3 linked regions of the Saccharomyces cerevisiae S288C genome follow. The gene in region 1 interacts genetically with each later gene. Each region holds a gene or a part of one and is shown in the gene's direction. Other genes may lie near its edges.

What was found.
Region 2: of MCP1 (region 1) and OM45, extra expression of one rescues a mutant of the other (dosage rescue), as found in Saccharomyces cerevisiae (one study listed by BioGRID).
Region 3: of MCP1 (region 1) and YPT35, changing one suppresses a phenotype caused by changing the other (phenotypic suppression), as found in Saccharomyces cerevisiae (one study listed by BioGRID).

Annotation. Positions count from the first base shown.
Region 1 is NC_001147.6:764,361-771,635, reverse strand, and holds MCP1 (Mcp1p), read left to right. Parts: upstream 1-3,858; coding exon 3,859-4,767; downstream 4,768-7,275. Other genes in the region: WTM1 (transcriptional modulator), read right to left, coding at 1-836; WTM2 (transcriptional modulator), read right to left, coding at 1,824-3,227; HER1 (Her1p), read right to left, coding at 5,071-7,275. UniProt on the Saccharomyces cerevisiae protein: Recruits the lipid transfer protein Vps13 to mitochondria thereby promoting vacuole-mitochondria contacts. Involved in mitochondrial lipid homeostasis.
Region 2 is NC_001141.2:90,112-97,723, forward strand, and holds OM45 (Om45p), read left to right. Parts: upstream 1-3,507; coding exon 3,508-4,689; downstream 4,690-7,612. Other genes in the region: TMA108 (Tma108p), read right to left, coding at 1-2,677; VHS2 (Vhs2p), read right to left, coding at 4,954-6,264; YIL134C-A (uncharacterized protein), read right to left, coding at 6,411-6,614; flavin adenine dinucleotide transporter FLX1, read left to right, coding at 7,284-7,612.
Region 3 is NC_001140.6:321,042-328,333, forward strand, and holds YPT35 (Ypt35p), read left to right. Parts: upstream 1-3,724; coding exon 3,725-4,369; downstream 4,370-7,292. Other genes in the region: SBE22 (Sbe22p), read left to right, coding at 1-1,931; GRE3 (trifunctional aldehyde reductase/xylose reductase/glucose 1-dehydrogenase (NADP(+))), read left to right, coding at 2,368-3,351; thioredoxin-disulfide reductase TRR2, read left to right, coding at 4,557-5,585; septin CDC12, read right to left, coding at 5,772-6,995; GGA2 (phosphatidylinositol 4-phosphate-binding protein), read left to right, coding at 7,262-7,292.

The DNA of each region.
Region 1 (7,275 bases):
TTGGAAACCTGAGAGCAATCAAACGAGGTCAATTTTCCGTTCTTTGGTTCTCCCAACACCCATATAGGCTTGTCGGAAGTTCTAGTGTCCCAGAACCTCAGAATATTGTCATCTGAACAAGACGCAAAGATATGATTGTCGAAAAATCTTACGGTGTGAGTCACAGTGGTACCAGGCACATGAACAGTACGTAGAATCTCACCAGGCTTACCGGCATTGTCAATGATTTTCAAAATACTGTCTTCTTCATCACCATTACTCTGAGACTTCACAATGGTTTCGGTATCATTGGAAATGCCGAAGTCAGAGATGGCTAATGAGAAATCCTTTTCAGGTAGATCACCAGGTCTGGTTAAAGAATGGATGCTGGCATAGCTGGTTGCTGGACCCATCAATTCCTGTACAATGTGAATAGGGACCTTTATACCCTCTTTGAACCAAGCCAACGACCCGTTCTTAGACATCGACAATAATGTAGTTTCTCCAGTCTTATCTAAGTAGGCCATTTTGGAGACAGTTTCACCCTGGTACACGAATTTTGGGCTCAACGAGGTGTTTTCAATACCTTCAAAGGCGTCACCATAGTCTTTCACCGGTTCTGAAGCGGCTTCTTGTAGTGGTACAGCGAAGTCAATTTCGTAGATATCACTACCTTGAGAGTATATAACACTTGAGGTTAGAGTGTTATTTTTTTTATCTGGAACAACAACGTTGCTGAACGTCAAGGACTTCCTTTGGTGCAGAACATTGTCCACACGAGACACAAATTTTGGTCTTAAGCTGGAGATATGTTCATAAGTGGAAGGCGTAGATGATTTCCAAACCTTTTTTGGCATTTTTGGTTGTAATGTATAGTGTGTTACAATTTATTTGTATCTTTCAAGATTGGTTGATTAATAATTAATTTTCTTATCTAATATCTACAATTCAGGCGAATATAAACTTTTCGGATCTTCTTTTTTCCCTCCCTTTATACTGGAAGCTACAGAACTGAAAAAAAAAAAAAAAAAACATAGAACATTAAGGGGACAGACTGCATGGAAAAGGAAAAGGTAAAAAAAAGCCCCGAAATGGTACTCTTAAATATGAGATGATAAACGAGGATTCGAAGGAAAATAGCCCAACTATCTACGAGTTGAAATTAAAAGGGAGTAGTGAGCGCCACTATGTGTGCTCACTGTGTATAGCTAAGCAATTACATAAGGGATAGTACATAAACCACCGTATGTTAGGAAAGAGGAAAAAAAGGAAAGACAAAGGTCTTTTGCCTATTGTATGACTTAGCCTTTCTTTGTTATACCCCGGCGCGTTCCAAAAAGGGAAGCCAGCACAGCACCGCATATTGAATACCGCCTTCTCACGTGGTACAGGCACAACTATCTTGCATGTGCCTCTGGGTCTTTCTTAGCGACAGCCTTTTAAGATTCTGAATTGTAAACATCGAGCTTCATCCGAGAAACGAAAGAGGGAATCTTGAAATGGACTATGTCACCATTAGATCCTCCCTCTTCTCCATATAGCCGGTTTTTGTCTTATTTCTTTGCTGGAAAGAAAAAAAAGAAATTGCTTGGTTAATTACTGGTAACCCTCTTTTCTTGAGGCCTTACTTCGTTGGCTTCAGAAATCTGAAAGAGTCTTTATTAGGAGCGATACCAGTATCTATACAACATTATACCATCACTATATATTACAAAAAAAAAAATAACCCCGATAGCGTGCTAGAAATGAATAAAAAAAAAAAAAACAGAATTATGTACGTGAATGCTTGTGAGTTACTGCCTTTCCCATAGGTGGTAACGTTAATTTCTTACTCTTTTTTTTTTTTAATCGTCGTAACCTCTGCCAATGAAGTCACTGGCCAGAAATGGTTTGTAGGCAGTAACAAGACTATCTGAATCAACAGTGCCAACAAAATCATTGATTACGGGGTGTAGCGCCACAGTGTTCCTCTTCCCGAATTGGTTGCTCGATCTTCTTGTGCCACCTGTGTGGAAAAATTTTAAACATTGACCCTGAAGTTCCTCCGGAGCAGCCACTCGAACTTCGTCTTCGTTGTCATCGTCGTTTCTTGAAAAAGAGTACTCCATGTCCCAGTGGTAGACATTACCCGTTCCTCCAACCGTAACAAATTCTGTTGCAGAGGTTTGTGAGAACAGGATATCGACAACGGAATCGCCGCCAGAATGGAACAACTTGGCTATTTCGTTTTGGATCGGTTCCTCGCCGTTCTGCCTATGTGTGAGGTCAGTAGTAGCCAGTTGCACAGCACGCGCATCCCATAGCTTGATGACACCCGTGCTGAACCCAGTGACAAATAGGTTTTCAGTAACTTGAGAGGAATCGAAGGACGTTAGTCGTCCATTTTTCGGTTCGCTTAGCGTCCAAAGCGGTTTGTCCGCTGTTCTTGTGTCCCAGAATCTTAAAATGTTGTCATCTGAACAAGATGCAAATAAATGGTTGTTAAAAAATCTAACTGAGTGAGCCACGTTGGTCCCTGGAACGTGCACTGTACGTAATATATCTCCCGGTCTATCGGAGTTGTCGATGATTTTCAAGATGCTGTCCTCCTCGTAGCCGTTACTTTGTGACTTTACTACCGTATCCATATTTGTCGACACATCAAAATCTGACACTGCTAATGAACCTGGTCTGGTTAGAGAGTGAATACTAGAGTATCTAGTAGCAGGGCCCATCATTTCCTGTACGATATGAACGGGAACCTTGATCTCATCTCTGAACCATGCCAAAGAGCCGTTCTTGGACATCGCGATCGCCGTACTGTCGTCTGAGCTTTCCAAGTATTGCATTTTTGCCACTGTTTCGCCCTGGTAAATCCACTTTGGGCGCAATGGTTTCCCCTCAACATCTTGGAAAGCATCACCATACTCTGGATTTGGGGTGGCTGCAGACTTCGTCTTGCCGTTACCTTCTTCGTCGTCGTCGTCGTTGTCGTCGTCGTCGTCGTCGTCATAGAATGTCTTTAATGGTAAAGTAGTGTCTATTTCGTAAATATCACTACCTTGAGAATATAAAAGACTAGTCGTCAAGGTGCCCTTGGATTTGTCTGGAATAATCTCACTTCTCCATGTCAGTGTCTTGCTAAAATGTAAAACATCGTCGACTCTTGTGCTGAATTGTGGTTTAAAGCTAGAAATGTGTTGGTATAAAGAAGGTGCCGGTTTACGGCGTGCTCCACTCGCACCCTGACTGGATTTGCTTTTCGCCATCCTCTATCCTTTTTAGTTCTTGCTCCCGTCGCTACTAATTGCTCCTTGTCTTATAAGTAAATGTAGCTGTACAGCAGAGATGTTCCATACGTCAGCTAACTAATTGCCTTTAATCTTTTTTTTTTTTATTTTTTTTTTTTTTCAAAAACAATAGAATTGAAGATGTGAGATGGAAAGGGAAATCAAAGTGCCATAAATGGTAAAGGCTTGCATTATGACCCGAATGGGTAAGAATGATCCAATGAGAGTCTGCGGACGCATATGTGCGGAATATGACTTAGCAGTTCGAACCCCGAACGGGGCTAAAAAACCAAAAGGACAAACCTTATGCGGAACATCTACCATCTATTCAAGGGAGTATAGCTTCCGTGTAGACTATAGAAGAAGCGTTCCAGTCAATTCTACTACATCAGTCTTCCGACATCGCTGATTGTATCCTAACCAGGTCCACAACTAAAATTTGTTTTGAAAAGAGTGGCTAGAGAGCGAATACGTGCTCTGTAATTGTGTGAGGCAAGTTGGTCGTCAATTGGAAAATAAGTAAGGAAAACCTTGTGTAGATTGTATTGCTCCTAACAGGTCCCGAATTACTAGGGCATATACCAGTTAGCCCAGAGTTTTGTTTATTACGATGATAAAGTTGCATGAAGTGCCTCCAGAACCAGTAGACCCTGCTAGTCTCCCTCATGATGTTAATGCACATAGCCCCGAAGGAGATGGTAATCCTGATAAGAGGAAAAAAATATTTGGCATTCCGTATCCTTTTTCCAGGAGTTCATGTCGGAGATTCCTTTGGAACTGTCAAAAGATTTCGGTACTGCCCATGGCATTGTATTTCCCACTACATGCAGCAAATACATTAATCACGCCGGCAGTATCACCTGATTCTGCTCCTGACGACGTTTTAATGATGGTGAGAGAGATTTTACCGTCCATAACTACCAAGCTGTTAGTTGCGGGTATTACTCTTCATGTTTCTGCTGGTGTCTTGCTCCGAATCGTGAACAACTGGAACAAGCCAAGAAGAAATAGACATCGACATTTAAAGATATCGGCCGAACAAGATCTATCCCAAGATTCGATTGGTTTAACTGGTGGAATTTCTGGCTATTTATTTGGATTGTATAAGACCTTCCGCATTCCTCCACAAGTGATTAGTGGATACATCCTTGTTCCCGTCCTGATATACCACTTATTAATTATGAAATGGGTGCCGAATTCCATCTCTACTGAGGTGGATTTCGCCTCTATAAAGCAATTACTATCTAGCAAGAACAGGTGGTGGAAATGGCTTGGAGGCCTGGTGCCGTTAGCTATTCTCCTCGAGTCAGGTGTATATCATATAGGTTCGGGGCTCTGCCGTTATTTCGGTGTTAGAAAAATGACTAGCAGGAAAAAATGGTCCACAGCTATCAATCTATTAACACTCGTTGGGTTCGTTTCTCTGATTAGATTGATGAAAGAGGATTCTACGAAACTGGGTCCCAACCAATTCGAAAGCATTTTCAAAAAGATCCGGTTGCTGTTGCACGTGAATTAGGAATCCTTGTGGGAGTAGTGTGAAGCTATTAATTTGCGACAATTCTCGAACAGTTAATTATATTATTCTCAGTATTTATTTTAAATTTCTGTATTTTTATCTGATTAATAACATTAGTGTGCATAATGAAGGCAAAAAATTTCGGCAGAAAGTATATGATTATGAAAAAACGTAAAATACATATACACATAAAACGTACATACATATATAGATTCCTAAGAATACATTATTGATGGGATATTTATACAAAGATGCACCTTCTAATAATCGAAAGAGAAAGGAAAGACAGAAGCATAAAATAATTTAGGTTTTACTGTGACGAACATTAGACAGATCGTTCAATAGTTTGTCATATTTTTTTGTCACTGTTTCATCTTCAACAAGGGGCCTCTGCAAAGGCGCCTTTTGTTGTGATTCTTGTAAACTGTCATTACTCGGGCTTCTAGAGTTCAATTCATCTCCATATAATGATTCCAATCCAACCTTTTCAGAGGTAACATTTTTAATCAGATCATCTACAGAATCAATACCCTTAGCTTTAATAATGGCATCCCTTAATTCGGCACCGGTAGGAATCTTTGGTAAGATTTTTGGCCTTGTACCAGATGTGCGAGAGGATTCCCCTTTCTTTCCTCCGGCGACACTGCTATCTGGTGTTAACGACCCGCTAATTCTCGAAGAATTGGCGGATGAAGGAAGCCCAGAGTTATGTCTTGAGCTTTGGTGCTGTACAAACACACCCCATTTATGTAATTCACCTTCCTCTTCTTCCTGTCTCTTGCCGGCCAGTGAGGTATTAGACGAACTCTTGAAAAGAAGAGCTTTACCAGTGGTCACATCGATGATTCGTCCCGAGTCGGTGGCCATTAAGTGTGGTCTAATTGATGAATCGTTTTCAGGAATTGAAACATCGTTGATTAACCTGTCAGAATCTAAGTGTTTTAGAGATGGACGAATACCATCATTATAGTTTGCGCTAACCGTGCTATCCCCAATATTAGGGAAACTATTATCGGCTTTTGAAAATGGTACGACATCTGCTATATTGGGCATAGAAGCAAAAATATCAAGAATATTTGATAAATTTTTCTCAAGAAGCAATAACCTTAGTAGGTTTTCCTTTTCCTGCAGTGGCAGTTCGCCGGATTTTCTTTTCTCAAACATAGAATCAATTGTATTTTGAACATTATGATGTACCTTTTCCATTTTCTCAAAATATTTCTTTAAAAGATATTTCTTCCCAACATCATTTTGAAGTAAAGATTTGTCATTTAATCTTTTCAAAACTTCTTCTGCTGTCTCAGTTATCAAGGAACCATCAAATATTAAATCATCTTGTACAGTCAATTCATCTAATTTAAAGCTAGAGTCCATAATTCTCTTCATATTATGCATTAAGCATAACGCAATTCTTGATTGAATTTCGTCTGGTACTTGATCATAGTCAACGTCTAAACTAACTAAATTGTGAGAGTCCCTAACAAATGCATACAATGAGGCCCAAAGCGTATTTCTCATAAATACGATTTGTTCTTTCTTTTCATCTTTCGACTTATCGGGTTCATCAGTACTGTCGGATATTTTACTTGCATCGGGCATAGGACTTTGTCCTATCAATGAAACATGAGAGAGGGTTTCACACTTAGCTAATATGCTGACAAGCATGGTTGTTTCTTTTATAGAAAGATCGTCGAAATCAAAATGAATACGTTTCAGTTGTGGAAATTGGGGAAAATACTTATAGCCGGATGTTAAAATCCCCGGGAATAACTGAGGCAAGTTGCTCAAATCTAGAAATTTTATGCTTGGCAAACGTGAAAGATATTTTAGTATGTAGGACATATCATCAACAGAGGTGATATTAGTGCTGTTAAGGGTAAAATATTCCAAATGCTTATAAGGAAGCCTAGCTAGTTTTTTGATCATTCGTTTTGCCAAACTTTCTAAATTATTATAGGCCAAATCCACACCTTGAACGTTATATTCAGACATCCAATTAAAGAGAAAATCAAAACACTCGGTTGAGAATTCTACGTTAGCCATCCCGAGACGAATAGGGTTTTTAGGGTTCATTTGTGCGAAAGTAAGTAGGATATTTTTGAAATGACTGAATGACATTTTGTCAAACCTTAAACCATTCAAAAGCAATTCTTCCAAAGGTCTACCTTCTCTATTTCTAAGAACTTCGCAAAATAGTTCCCAGTCCATTTGGTCTCTGTAGTTAGAATCATTTAAATCTGTCCTTGCTTTAGTCTGAGAAATATCCAGCTTGATCAATGTTTTATTTTGTAATAAAAACTTGCAAAGTAGTTTCCAACTTTGTTCGTTTATCACAACATTTCTTAACCCCAATTTCTCCACTACCGGAGAGGTTACCAAAGAACAAATGACAATCTTGAACATATCATGGGTTAAGGACACATTATCGAAAATGATGTTATGGATCGGAGTTATGGCAATAAAATCACAAAATGATAATATATCCACTAAGGTTGGTTTTGGATTCAA
Region 2 (7,612 bases), on another chromosome or scaffold:
GAAAGATTATCAGGGAAATACTCCTTAACGCCTTGTGTAGATGATCCCCCGTGGTGGTACCTTTCCTTGTAGCCTTCCGTGCCCATTGGTCAAAATTGCCCATATACCACTCCCAGATCGTTTCACGAACGACTTGGTCTTGAGGTTTCTCGTTTTTGTTCAGCCTCTTCTTAAAGTTGTAATTAAATCCGAATAATGCCAGTTCCATCCCCTCTGACTCAATATTGGAAGTGATAAAATTCAAAGTTTTTTTCACGATATCAGAATCTAAACAGAATCCAAGAGATTCTATTGCACCGTTTTGAATCAACATGGCGGTTTCGCTACTGTTTTGGTCATACATATTAATGACATGGTTTGTGATACCAGTACAGGAACTGCGTTTCACCAAATCGAATATTTTCTTCCACTGCTTGATGTTTGCACAATGTTGCGATACGACGACAAGGATTGAGTTCACTAATTCTAACGGTACGCTCGAACGTGGGCCCTGTAATAGATGTTTAAAATAAATTTGACACAATTCAGCACATTTTGCGGAGTTTTTATTTAAAAACAAGACTTGAGACATGACTTTCAACTCGTGAGGGTTTGTGCTTTTATCAAATTCACCGTGGGGCCAATCAATCTTATTGAAAAGGGGAATGACAATTTTTTTCTTTAAGAAAGATTGTAATTTAGAGCTCGTTAAACTGGCACGATCGATCGTTTGCAGAACTTCCAACCCCTTGGAAAGAGGATCCCAATATTTTGATGCAATCTTTGTGGAAGGAGAAGCGATATGGTTTAGTATCTTAAAGAGACCGTGCAAATGAATAGAATTCTGGAAACCCTCATCTCCAATAAACTGCGACAAGTCTAAGAAAATCTTCCGAAGGTCAATCTCGGATAACGTCTCCTCAGTTATTTTATCATTAATCAATGCATAGCACTCTTCGGACTCATATGAAACGCGGTAATAACCTTGGGCTAAATGGTTAATTACTAAGATAGGATAATCGAACTTTAAGGTCCTATCCGTCAATAGTACATTTTTAGTATCCATTTTACCATCTGGCAGAACCCCGAATAAGGGTACCTGATATGGGACATCTTCTAACTGATCCTTTTCTTCAGTAGATAATTGATTGATAAATCTGTGTTGAGTCAATTTTGTTTGCGTTTTCCCGTCTTTCTCTTCTACTTCGACCTTAACGACAGGTAAGCCTGGCGTTCTTGTCCAAGATGAAACAAAGTTTGTAATATTTTGAGACTTCAAAAATTTTCCGATATGATTCCATATATCCATTGGTTTGACGCTTCTCGCATGAAATGTTTTAGTATCTTCAAATACACTTTCCAGGCCCTTTTGTAGATGAGATTCGCCTGTAGCCAATTGCAGGGACCTCAGCATGATAATACCCTTTGTGTATGCCTCAGGATCAAAAATATCGGAGGTTTGAGAATCTATGCCAGTGTTCCGTTGCGCAATCTGAAATATGCTTCTTCCATTAACGTCAGCTGCATCTCTGCACATGGTCGGCTCCACTTGCTGTAGTAAATAAGGTTCCGAGGTCCAATAATGGGATAGGTCACCATTCTGTTCTAGTATGTGGCAAGCTAACCAAGTAGCGAAAGACTCATTAAACCAAAGAGATTCCCACGAGTCAAAAGATATGTAGTTGCCCATCCATTGATGAACGAGTTCGTGGACAATGAGTTGCTGTGCTTGCTCTCTGACGGTTTCATTGGCCAAGGCATTTGGTGGTATGAGCAGGTGGTTTAGTTGGATGGTGATCATACCAAAGTTCTCCATTGCCATGTCACTTAAATATGGTAGTAGGACGAAATCTAACTTTGGCAGAGGGTATGGACATTTAAAATAGGATTCCAACAAAGGTAGATATTTCTGGACTGTATCTAAAGTGAAAGCTGCATTAGCAATATCCCAAGGTGCATAAATTGAAACGGGAATAGTCCTATCACCTTCCAACTTGATTTCCGTTTTCAAAAATTCTAAATCACCAATAGAAAAACCAAATACGGAAGTAGTCATCAAAGGTGTCTTGGCAAATTTCACCAAATGTTTTTGAGAACTATCCAAAGCTTCGACCATCTCTACAGGAGTATTGGAAACGGCTTTATATTGTGCATCCGTTGCAATGTTCAATTGAAAAGTGGACTTGTTTGAAGGCTCGTCAATACATGGGAAAATATTGCTAGCGGAAAACGGTTGGCAGTGAGTAGCAACGACGTGATTATTGGCAGTACCGGTTTTACGATCCATAAAATTGGTTTTGAAAATACCAAAAGTCTTATCATGATGTGTTTTTATGTCACGAATTTTACCCACGTATTGCACGGACAAAATCAGAGGGCAATCGTTGGACAATTGAATAGGAGATTCAGAGTTGAAAATCGACAAATGCTTTCCAGTGTCCTGAGAAATTTTTAGATCAAACTTAGTAGACCCTATGGTGGCATGTGCAGACAACACAATCAAATCCTTGGAATGTAACTTGAACTGGGTAAAACTGTCTTCGATAGAAGCTAAGGTGGTGGAGTTCGGATTGAATTTCAAATGGATTATGGCGGATCCTTTGAAATTGGGCGACGACTGCTTAGGGTCAATTTCTAGACGCAACTCATAGTGACTAGGCACCACCGGATTCTCTAAAGATAACAAATTATCAGACATGATGGTTAGTGATGATCAACCTGGCGTTATATATCCTTTACACGTCTTCGGACCTTTTTTTTGTATAGCACATCCAGGAATGGTTTGACTGCAAAACTCGTTTTTCACTGAAAAATTACCGGCGAATTGTATAATAGAAAGGATCGATTTATACTAAAGAAAAGAAGGATTAATATACAAGACTACAACCAAGGGTGGTACCTCACTTGAAGGGGGTTCTCAAAGTACTCGAGAATTTTGATATTCTGTCCTGTGTGTGCTGAGCCGTTCCAGCCAGTCTTGTTCCAGAAATATGTTGACAAAATTGAAGTTCGTAAATATATATACATTTCATATAATAATTGACAAGCTGATACATACGGTGTGCGGACGGTTACATTAATGCAGGAATCTATAAATGCTATGGCCAGCTGGCGTCCTTCTGTTATGCAGATTTCTTAAAATAATTGGCATATTGGTGGTAAACATGAAATGTGAAGACGTTGCCCCTCGTCATAGGTAAGCGGTGGTCATCACAACCATCAGCGGTGACAATAACACAGCAAACAGTCTTGTTTGACTCTCCTGCCTGCATGGTGTTTGAAAGTGAATCGTCAGGATTTGCAACAACCAATAGTGTACTGCTATTCGCAGGAGCACAAGCTCGCCGGTGGCCCGTGTGGGTTAAGGGAGGAGTTTGTTGACCCTTATTTTGTCGAGTTCCTTGAAGAGGAGTATATATAAGGGGAAACGGTTCTTGCTAAAGTCCTGCTTCTTTGCCCTTTCTTGAAATAAAGGGTATTTTTGATTGGCCAGTAACGTTAATCATTTAATAAAACAAGCAGATAAGGATGTCATCAAGAATAATTGTCGGCAGTGCAGCATTGGCAGCTGCCATCACAGCTAGCATCATGGTCAGAGAACAGAAGGCCAAGGGTCAGAGAAGAGAGGGCAACGTCTCCGCTTACTACAACGGCCAGGAGTACGGCAGTTCAGCACCCCCACAGTTGGGAAAGCTACATAACATAAAGCAAGGCATAAAGGAAGATGCCTTGTCGTTAAAAGACGCGCTTCTGGGCGTATCTCAAAAGGCTAGGGAAGAGGCTCCAAAGGTAACTAAGCGTGTGATATCACCGGAAGAGGATGCTCAGACACGCAAGCAGCTAGGCCAAAAAGCCAAGGATTCTTCCTCGCAAAGCATCTTCAATTGGGGGTTTAGTGAGGCTGAAAGAAGGAAAGCCATAGCCATCGGGGAATTTGATACTGCTAAGAAGCGTTTCGAAGAGGCAGTGGATCGTAATGAGAAGGAGCTCTTGTCCACGGTGATGAGAGAGAAGAAGGCCGCTCTGGACAGAGCATCCATTGAGTACGAAAGGTACGGGAGAGCCAGAGACTTTAATGAGCTTTCGGACAAGCTAGACCAACAGGAAAGGAACAGTAATCCTTTGAAACGCCTGTTGAAGAATAACACGGGTGACGCTAATACTGAAGAAGCCGCTGCAAGAAGTGTCCAAGGCTGGGGTGATACGGCACAGGAGTTTGGTAGAGAAGAGTTGGAGGAAGCCAAGAGAAATGCTTCTTCAGAGCCAAGCGAGGCGCAAAAACGTCTTGACGAGCTGAAGAAGATCAAGGAAAAGGGCTGGTTTGGTTACAACAAAGGGGAGCAAAGCGAGCAACAGATTGCTGAACGGGTAGCCAGAGGTTTAGAAGGATGGGGTGAAACAGCCGCTCAACTTTCCAAGGACGAAATGGACGATTTAAGATGGAATTATGAGAATTCAAAGAAACAACTGGATAAGAACGTGTCCGATGCCATGGACTCGTTATCTAAGGCGAAGGAGGACTTGAAACAGTACGGCAGCCACTGGTGGTCTGGATGGACTTCCAAGGTCGACAATGACAAGCAGGCTTTAAAAGATGAGGCCCAAAAGAAGTACGATGAAGCGTTGAAAAAGTACGATGAAGCCAAGAACAAATTCAAAGAATGGAATGATAAGGGTGATGGTAAATTCTGGAGCTCGAAAAAGGACTAGTTAGATAGCTAATTGTAAAGGGTTGGTTCCCGCATAACATATATACATATTCACATGTTTCTCATTTTTTATATTTGAAATCACATATGGTCTTTGCTGATTATGGATTGGAAAACGGAGTAAATTAGTGGCATTATTGGGGTATACGTGCATACATAAAATACCGTTATATATCTATATATATGGAAAAAAGAGACTTAAATGAATTTTTAGAGTAGGAGAAGAAGGTTGAAGAAATGAACAATCGCGGCCCTTCAGTTTTCTTTATTTGGTTGTGTCTGGATTCATAGAGGTTATTGTAGAGTTTGAATTTGATTTTGAACTTGGATTCGAGTTTGTGAACGCAGGGCTATTTTTGATGTTATTATTAATAGTATTCTTGTGTTTATTAGTATTATTGTGATTATCGTTAACCATGTTGGCAATTGATGGTGGTTGTGCCAGTTGTGACTGCAATTTTTGCTTTAGATTGAGTTTATCTCTTTCAATCATAGTGTTGTCCTCCTCTTCGGAAGAAAACCCTTCACTGCCACTGGATTCCATATGGAATTTGGATTTAGGTTTCCCGATCATAATGTTGGCAGCACTGCCGGGCCTATTGCTGTTTCTTCTTGAACGGGCGCTCCCTGAAGGTGACCTTTGTTGTTTAAGTAAGTACTGTTGGTTCGATGGCGATCTTGATAGTGCGGCCCCCGTAGTGCTTCCAGCGCTGGTTCCCCCATTGGCATTGTTGATCGTTGTGTTAGAGTAACGTCTAGATATGATGAAAGGGTTGGTGAAGTTCATATGCTGAGGTGGTGATGCCGAAGCTGATGGGGGGGAAGGCAAATGAGAAGGAGAATTCAAAAGGGACGACGAGAACGAGTAGTGACCTTGCATTGGGGGTCTTCTCAAGGGGTTCGCAGTTGATGATGTTGATGTCGCATTACTAACGTTGTTATTGTTGTCATCGGACAACATGTCAGCGTAGGAATAAAACCTTAGTAGTCTTGAACCATGGTCGTTGGGAGATCTTGGATGCGCAGGCGACGTTTCGTTATCAAAAGATTGTGACGAAAGACTTCTTGTCCTACCTAGGGCTCTATCCAGGCCGATGGTAGATGGCCTTCTCGAATAAACCATATCAACGTCATCAAGGCCAGTCGTGTCGTCAGTTACAATAGAACAGCCAGCGTCTAATGCAGGAGGGACGAAATTCTCTAAGGTACGACGGTGATCCAGTGGAGTCTGCACAACAAAATCCGGATTGTATGTCTGGTACGATGCTATTGACTCATTAGTCCTAGAAGGTTGCAAATGTAGATTCACAGCAGACGATCTCTGGCTTAAGTTATGGAAGTTCCTATTACTAGAATTATTATGATTGAACAAACTGGTCCTGCTGCTCTGCCTAGAGAGAGAGTTTGCAGCGTTGTTTGACACCGTTTTATAAAGGTATGATGGGTCCTCTACATTTCTTTCAAAAATCATAGAACTCTCGCTCATGGAGGGGGAAGGTGGCATATAATTATTGTCGTTCTCCCTCTGTGCCGCCACGTGGGAGTCGTGGTCTTGGTTGTGGTTGCTGGTATCCATCTTTGCCGTTTACGTTCGCTTTGCTTGAAGGTAGTCTATCACAAAAGCTTTCAGGATCAACCTTTTGCGCCTCAAGAAATTGCATATCACCAAAGGGTGAGTTTAGTCTGATACTGTTTGTTAATCACCTCACGACTGTTGCAACATTAATATGGCGCACACACCGTGTTACGTGATGAAAATAAAGATAATAAAGCGATAGCATAAATAAAATACCATTTAATACGCTTTGTAAAACAAGCACTAACAAGGCGTTGCTTAATAACAAAATAGTCAGCATTCAACAACGTGAGAAGGATAGCTACGACATCTACATCTGCAGTGTTGTTAAATTCGCTGCCAACAACCATTTATATGTCACCATACACGGTCATGCTCTCTTGCACCATTTTTCTCACCTATATAAAGTGAAAAAGTTTTCGATGTCTCTTCTTCCTTCCTAGTAAACTACACTCCATGTGTTTCTGAAAGGGACCTTCAGGAGGTTACGATCAAGTATCTTGTGACATGCAAGAACTTGATGCTTCGATGGGGGAAGTCTTATTTTCAATGTGTTGAAAAGAGTTAATTATGGAACGGTTGGTCATAGCTTTGTACAGCTCAATGTCGTCATGTTTGTAAGGATACAGGCGCGACTTGATCTGCGACTTACTGCTATCAAACGATAAATTATGTTTTTCTTCGTTTCCTTTTTTTTTCTTTTCAGTTTCCTTCCGTTTATTTTTTTGTTGGATTTATCATGATGAGCATTTATTTTACTGCGTTATCGTATTGACGGGGGCTGTTTAAGTACAGTCTGTTTTATAATCTATATTCATTTATATTTTATATTTCTTACCGAGGAAATTGACTCTTAACAGATTTGCTGAAAGGTTCATCTTACAAAAAAATTGGAAAACTTAAACTGAAAAAAAAAAAGTGAAGGAGTACGTGAAGAGCAGTAGCTTTCATAGGAATATGTACAATATCTTGTCTTTGTACTTTGCAAAACCAGCACGCAGCAGGAAGCTCTTGATAATATGGTCGATCACCAGTGGACGCCACTGCAGAAGGAGGTTATCTCAGGTCTGTCCGCGGGATCCGTCACCACATTGGTAGTGCATCCATTAGATTTACTGAAGGTTCGTTTGCAATTATCCGCTACAAGCGCACAAAAGGCCCATTACGGCCCATTTATGGTAATCAAAGAGATTATACGTTCGTCGGCGAATAGTGGACGTAGTGTTACGAACGAACTGTATCGCGGATTAAGCATAAATTTGTTTGGAAATGCCATTGCATGGGGAGTTTATTTCGGTTTATATGGTGTCACGAAAGAATTGATATACAAGTCAGTGGCAAAGCCAGG
Region 3 (7,292 bases), on another chromosome or scaffold:
CTATGAATAAATCTAGACATTCTTACCAAGAACAGTTCTCCTCGAAGAAAAGCCAGTCATCTTTACTGAACAGCAAGCAAAGATCACGTGCTAAATCGCAAACATGCTCGTCTACGGGTTATAACAACAGCAGCATTCTGAAAACGTTTGGCATAAGCTCCAAAATTTCTAATTCAAGTGATCGGATAGAGGCTTCGTCATTAGAATTTAACGTTCCATCTCAGAAACCTTTGAATTGCAAGCCATTAACTCCGTCTCAGAAATACAGACTTCGTAAAGAGCAATCGGAGATGAATTTAAGAAATACAATCAAAAGAAAAGAGAAATTTTATGATAGTCAAGAACAAATTCTTGAGTTACAAGAGGGAGACGTTGATGATTCGTTGATTTGGAACGTTCCTATGGCATCATTATCTACTAATTCATTTCTAGCGTCTGCTAAGCCCGATGATATGAATAACTTGGCTGGCAAGAATGACTTATCAGAATATACCGGAGGTTTGGTAAATGATAACTCTGAAATTTCTTATACAAAACAAAATCATAGGTACTCGAACATCTCTTTTGCGAGTACAACATCAAACGCCTCATTATTGGACTTTAATGAGATGCCTACGTCTCCGATTCCAGGTTTGAACAAAGTAACTGATTTTCAGTTCATTCAAGACACAACCAAGAGTCTAGCCTCTGTTTATTTGCATTCTTCCAATAGGCTTTCAAGATCTAAGCTGTCCGAAAGAACAAAGTCTTCCGATTTCTTGCCAATTGAACTAAAAGAAGCTCAAAATCAAGGCATGGAAGATTTGATACTTGTCTCGGAGAACAAACTAGATGTGGTCAGCCATTCAAGACCGAGTTGGTTACCACCCAAGGATCGCCAGGAAAAAAAGCTTCATGAAAGGCAAATTAACAAAAGCATGAGTGTTGCTTCCCTTGACCAACTAGGAAAAAATAAAGACAGAGAAGAAAAGTTGATTAGAGATGAAACAAATAGGCAAAAATATGTGTTATTATTGGACAGAGATATAACTAGAAACTCCTCCTTACAAAGCCTAAGTAAAATGGTTTGGGACACTCCATTTAGTGACGAAACTAGGTCAACAATTTACAGCGAAATTTTACAGAGCAAGACTAGGTTTATTACCAAAAACTATATTCAACCATTTCATGAGCTACAGGAGCTTTTAACAAAAATGGGAGACTTTCCTAAAAACAAGGAAATTGAAATATCGCAGCTAATCGAAACAAGTTTGAGGCGAAAAGTGAGCGGTTTACATGATATATGTCCTGATTTGATGCTTTTATTGAAGATAAAATCTATCTCATCACAGGGTATAGTCACCGGTGATGAACTCCTTTTCCATCATTTCTTGGTGAGTGAATCATTTCAGAACCTGGGGCTAAACGAGATTTGGAATATTGTTAATTTAGTACAAATGACGTGTTTTAATGATCTTTGTAAAGAAAAGTTCGATGCAAAGGTTTTAGAACGTAAGGGTGTCGTAGCCGGTTATTTATCGCAAAACGAGGAGTTCAAGGATGAATTTAATACGGAGTGTATAAACTCTACCACCTGGTGGAACATCCTAGAACGTATTGATCATAAGCTTTTTATGTGGATCATGGATATTATAGTAGTCAACAATTCCCAGAGCTACAAAAATAGCCCAATCAACGAAGATGAGTTTGTTAACAAGGATTGGGAATATTACCGCTCGAAGAAAGTGGTAATAAACTACAAGATCTTGATTTCATTTGCATTAAATGTATTGTTAAATTACCACTTTGGATTCACTGATTTAAGAAGTCTTTGTAACGTGAATGACCAGAGATTTTGCATTCCAGTATTCATCAATGATGAATTCGTAGACGCAGATACTGTAAATGCCGTGTTCATCAAGAAATGGGCGCATTACTACAAGAAGTTTTGATATTTTTTGTAACTGTAATTTCACTCATGCACAAGAAAAAAAAAACTGGATTAAAAGGGAGCCCAAGGAAAACTCCTCAGCATATATTTAGAAGTCTCCTCAGCATATAGTTGTTTGTTTTCTTTACACATTCACTGTTTAATAAAACTTTTATAATATTTCATTATCGGAACTCTAGATTCTATACTTGTTTCCCAATTGTTGCTGGTAGTAAACGTATACGTCATAAAAGGGAAAAGCCACATGCGGAAGAATTTTATGGAAAAAAAAAAAACCTCGAAGTTACTACTTCTAGGGGGCCTATCAAGTAAATTACTCCTGGTACACTGAAGTATATAAGGGATATAGAAGCAAATAGTTGTCAGTGCAATCCTTCAAGACGATTGGGAAAATACTGTAATATAAATCGTAAAGGAAAATTGGAAATTTTTTAAAGATGTCTTCACTGGTTACTCTTAATAACGGTCTGAAAATGCCCCTAGTCGGCTTAGGGTGCTGGAAAATTGACAAAAAAGTCTGTGCGAATCAAATTTATGAAGCTATCAAATTAGGCTACCGTTTATTCGATGGTGCTTGCGACTACGGCAACGAAAAGGAAGTTGGTGAAGGTATCAGGAAAGCCATCTCCGAAGGTCTTGTTTCTAGAAAGGATATATTTGTTGTTTCAAAGTTATGGAACAATTTTCACCATCCTGATCATGTAAAATTAGCTTTAAAGAAGACCTTAAGCGATATGGGACTTGATTATTTAGACCTGTATTATATTCACTTCCCAATCGCCTTCAAATATGTTCCATTTGAAGAGAAATACCCTCCAGGATTCTATACGGGCGCAGATGACGAGAAGAAAGGTCACATCACCGAAGCACATGTACCAATCATAGATACGTACCGGGCTCTGGAAGAATGTGTTGATGAAGGCTTGATTAAGTCTATTGGTGTTTCCAACTTTCAGGGAAGCTTGATTCAAGATTTATTACGTGGTTGTAGAATCAAGCCCGTGGCTTTGCAAATTGAACACCATCCTTATTTGACTCAAGAACACCTAGTTGAGTTTTGTAAATTACACGATATCCAAGTAGTTGCTTACTCCTCCTTCGGTCCTCAATCATTCATTGAGATGGACTTACAGTTGGCAAAAACCACGCCAACTCTGTTCGAGAATGATGTAATCAAGAAGGTCTCACAAAACCATCCAGGCAGTACCACTTCCCAAGTATTGCTTAGATGGGCAACTCAGAGAGGCATTGCCGTCATTCCAAAATCTTCCAAGAAGGAAAGGTTACTTGGCAACCTAGAAATCGAAAAAAAGTTCACTTTAACGGAGCAAGAATTGAAGGATATTTCTGCACTAAATGCCAACATCAGATTTAATGATCCATGGACCTGGTTGGATGGTAAATTCCCCACTTTTGCCTGATCCAGCCAGTAAAATCCATACTCAACGACGATATGAACAAATTTCCCTCATTCCGATGCTGTATATGTGTATAAATTTTTACATGCTCTTCTGTTTAGACACAGAACAGCTTTAAATAAAATGTTGGATATACTTTTTCTGCCTGTGGTGTCATCCACGCTTTTAATTCATCTCTTGTATGGTTGACAATTTGGCTATTTTTTAACAGAACCCAACGGTAATTGAAATTAAAAGGGAAACGAGTGGGGGCGATGAGTGAGTGATACTAAAATAGACACCAAGAGAGCAAAGCGGTCCCAAAATCATTTGAGTAACCGGATATCTATCGGGATATTAATAGCAGCTTCCATTTCAACTAAAACAACAGCAAGATATGAGCGACAAGATATCCTTTCTACCTCCCGAACCCATCCAACTACTTGACGAAGACTCCACGGAGCCTGAACTCGACATTGACTCACAACAAGAAAATGAGGGACCCATCAGTGCGTCAAACAGCAATGATAGCACTAGCCATAGTAATGATTGCGGTGCCACAATTACCAGAACAAGACCTAGACGAAGCAGTTCTATCAATGCAAACTTTAGTTTTCAAAAGGCTCATGTCAGCGATTGCACCATAGTCAATGGCGACCATGGAACAAAGTTTGCTGTCTGGAGAATTACCGTATTTCTTGAACCCAACTTGAAGGCTTTTGCGGCCAAGAGGGAAAGCTATAAAATCCAAACCTATAAACGATACTCCGATTTCGTCAGATTACGAGAGAATTTGCTCACAAGAATCAAGACAGCGAAACCTGAGAAACTTAACTGTTTGCAGATTCCACACCTTCCCCCTTCAGTGCAGTGGTACAGTTCTTGGAAATATCAAGAAGTGAATCTGAACAAGGACTGGCTGGCAAAAAGACAGAGAGGGCTCGAGTACTTCCTCAATCACATCATCCTTAACAGCAGCCTCGTAGAAATGACCAAAGATATACTCATACAGTTTCTAGAGCCTTCAAAACGAGTTGCATAGCTCACCATCCCTATCCAACCGACTATTCTTCTCATCGACTACTACTATCCCATTTAACTCGGGCGCGTTGTTAATTAATCACTCGATGGGGAATGCCTTGAGCTGACCGCAATGAAAACTTTTAGGGGATCGTCCAACATTAAAGGAAGAACGAAACGGACTCCACAGTTTCTAATATAAATAAACAATGATAAAACATATAGTTTCGCCATTCAGGACGAATTTTGTTGGCATCAGCAAGTCCGTGCTGTCAAGGATGATTCATCACAAGGTTACAATCATAGGTTCTGGCCCCGCTGCCCACACCGCTGCTATATACTTGGCAAGAGCAGAGATGAAGCCCACATTATATGAGGGAATGATGGCCAACGGAATTGCTGCTGGTGGCCAATTGACAACAACCACCGATATCGAAAATTTCCCAGGGTTTCCTGAATCGTTGAGTGGCAGTGAACTGATGGAGAGGATGAGGAAACAATCTGCCAAGTTTGGCACTAACATAATTACCGAGACTGTCTCTAAAGTCGATTTATCTTCAAAACCATTCAGATTATGGACCGAATTTAATGAGGATGCAGAGCCTGTGACCACTGATGCTATAATCTTGGCCACGGGTGCTTCCGCTAAGAGAATGCATTTACCAGGGGAGGAAACCTACTGGCAGCAGGGAATATCTGCCTGTGCTGTATGTGATGGTGCAGTCCCTATCTTTAGAAACAAGCCATTGGCCGTTATTGGTGGTGGTGACTCTGCGTGTGAGGAAGCGGAATTTCTTACGAAGTATGCGTCGAAAGTATATATATTAGTAAGAAAGGATCATTTTCGTGCATCTGTAATAATGCAGAGACGAATTGAGAAAAATCCAAACATCATTGTTTTGTTCAACACAGTTGCATTAGAAGCTAAGGGTGATGGTAAGTTATTGAATATGTTGAGAATTAAGAATACTAAAAGTAATGTGGAGAACGATTTAGAAGTAAATGGACTATTTTACGCAATAGGTCACAGCCCTGCCACAGATATAGTTAAAGGACAAGTAGATGAAGAAGAGACGGGGTATATAAAAACTGTGCCTGGATCGTCTCTGACTTCTGTGCCAGGTTTTTTTGCTGCAGGTGACGTTCAGGACTCTAGGTATAGACAAGCAGTTACTTCTGCTGGTTCCGGATGCATTGCTGCTTTGGATGCAGAACGGTACCTAAGTGCCCAAGAGTAACGTGAAAAAACCGGTTTATTTTTGTTTTTACTGTTCGATTGTGTTACGTATTCTATGTTTTTTGAGATATATTTGAAATATTTTTATAAGATACATATATATATGTGCGTATTGCTGCGACAAAAGAAGAGACAAAGAGATAGGCGTTGAAATTGACGAGACAAAGAGGAAGACATTAATTAATCATCATTTTAAATGGGATTTTTTTACTTGCAAGCTTTTGACCTGCTCTTCTAGTTTTTTTACCTTTCCTTGAATTTCTTCCAAGTCACCGTTCAGTCTGATTCTTTCGTTAACAATGTTTTGCTCCCATTGTCTAAATCTTTGCTCCTCAGCTTTGACTTGGTCAGTGAAATACTTCTTCAATGCATTTTCTTCTTCTTTGTATCTAGGATTGTGTGACAATTTCCTTGCTGGTGCAATTGCTGGAAGAGTGAAATCTTCATTCCCCTCCCCGGTGTTCTCGTGACCCTCAAGTCTTAATCTTCTGTATGTTTCGTAATGCATTTCTTGGGTGGTAGAAATCAAATCTAATAGATAAGTCCTCAGTAACAGGGCTCTGAGCTTACGGAAATCACAATGAGAATCGTTTTCGATTTCCACAAGTCCCCAAGGATACTTCCTTGCAACTACCTGAGTGCCTTGCCCATTGTCAAATTTTTTTTCAGACCCTACTATGGCAAATGGCATTGCTTCTATCAACTGTCTTGCATGTTCAACAGCGGCAGAATCTGGATTACTGCCACTTTTGGCATCTTCCTTAGAATCAGCGTCTAATGGAGGCGTGAAAATACGAATTTCTTGAGCTTCTATTACTTGCCTGATTCTGGACTTGAACTGTTGTAATTCTTGGGCAGTCAATGTATCAGCTTTCGCAATAACTGGAATCAGATTGGCTCTGGTTGACAATCTCTTCATAGTCTCAATGTCAATTGGCTTTAAACCATGTCCAGTGGGCCTGATGAAGTACAGAACGGCATGAACTCTCAAGTCAAATTTCTTAGTACGGTACGGTTGCTGCTCTTGACGCATATAAGAATCGTGTTGATCATCAATAAAATCCACCAATGGTTGCCAGGCTTTGTTGTTATTCACGTTATCTCCAAAACCTGGGGTGTCGATGACATTAACGCGTAATTCGAAATGCTTCTCTTCCAGCAAAGCTCTTGTGATGTCGATTTCTACAGTCTTTCTGATGGGTTCTTGGCGGTGTTGCTGACCATCTGCCCTTTTCAAGACAGTCTGAAATAAGGTATTAATAAATGTAGTTTTACCCAATCCGCTCTCACCACATAACATCACGGTGAATGTACCACCTTCTTCATTAACAATTTTATAACGCTGGTTGGGAAGATTGGATATCCCTACAGGAGGAGGAACAGGGGCAGCAGTCGCAGTGGCAGCACTCATTATTTGATACAATATGTGATGTAGTTCGTTATCAATACTCTTCAGGTCAAGATCCTATATCTTGCTGCACCTTTCAAGACTTTGATCTACTCAAAACAAACAATGGTGATTTCGAAAAAAATTTCGGATTCTTCACTTTTCCAGCGCCCTGTTTTTTTTCTGTAATCACGATTGCAAAAAAAAGAGACTTACCATAGGACAATTTCCATAAACAAAACAAAGAGCAACATAACTCATAGCTGAATTGCTAATCGTGATACTGCATCATGTCCCATCCGCACTCACATAGCATATATT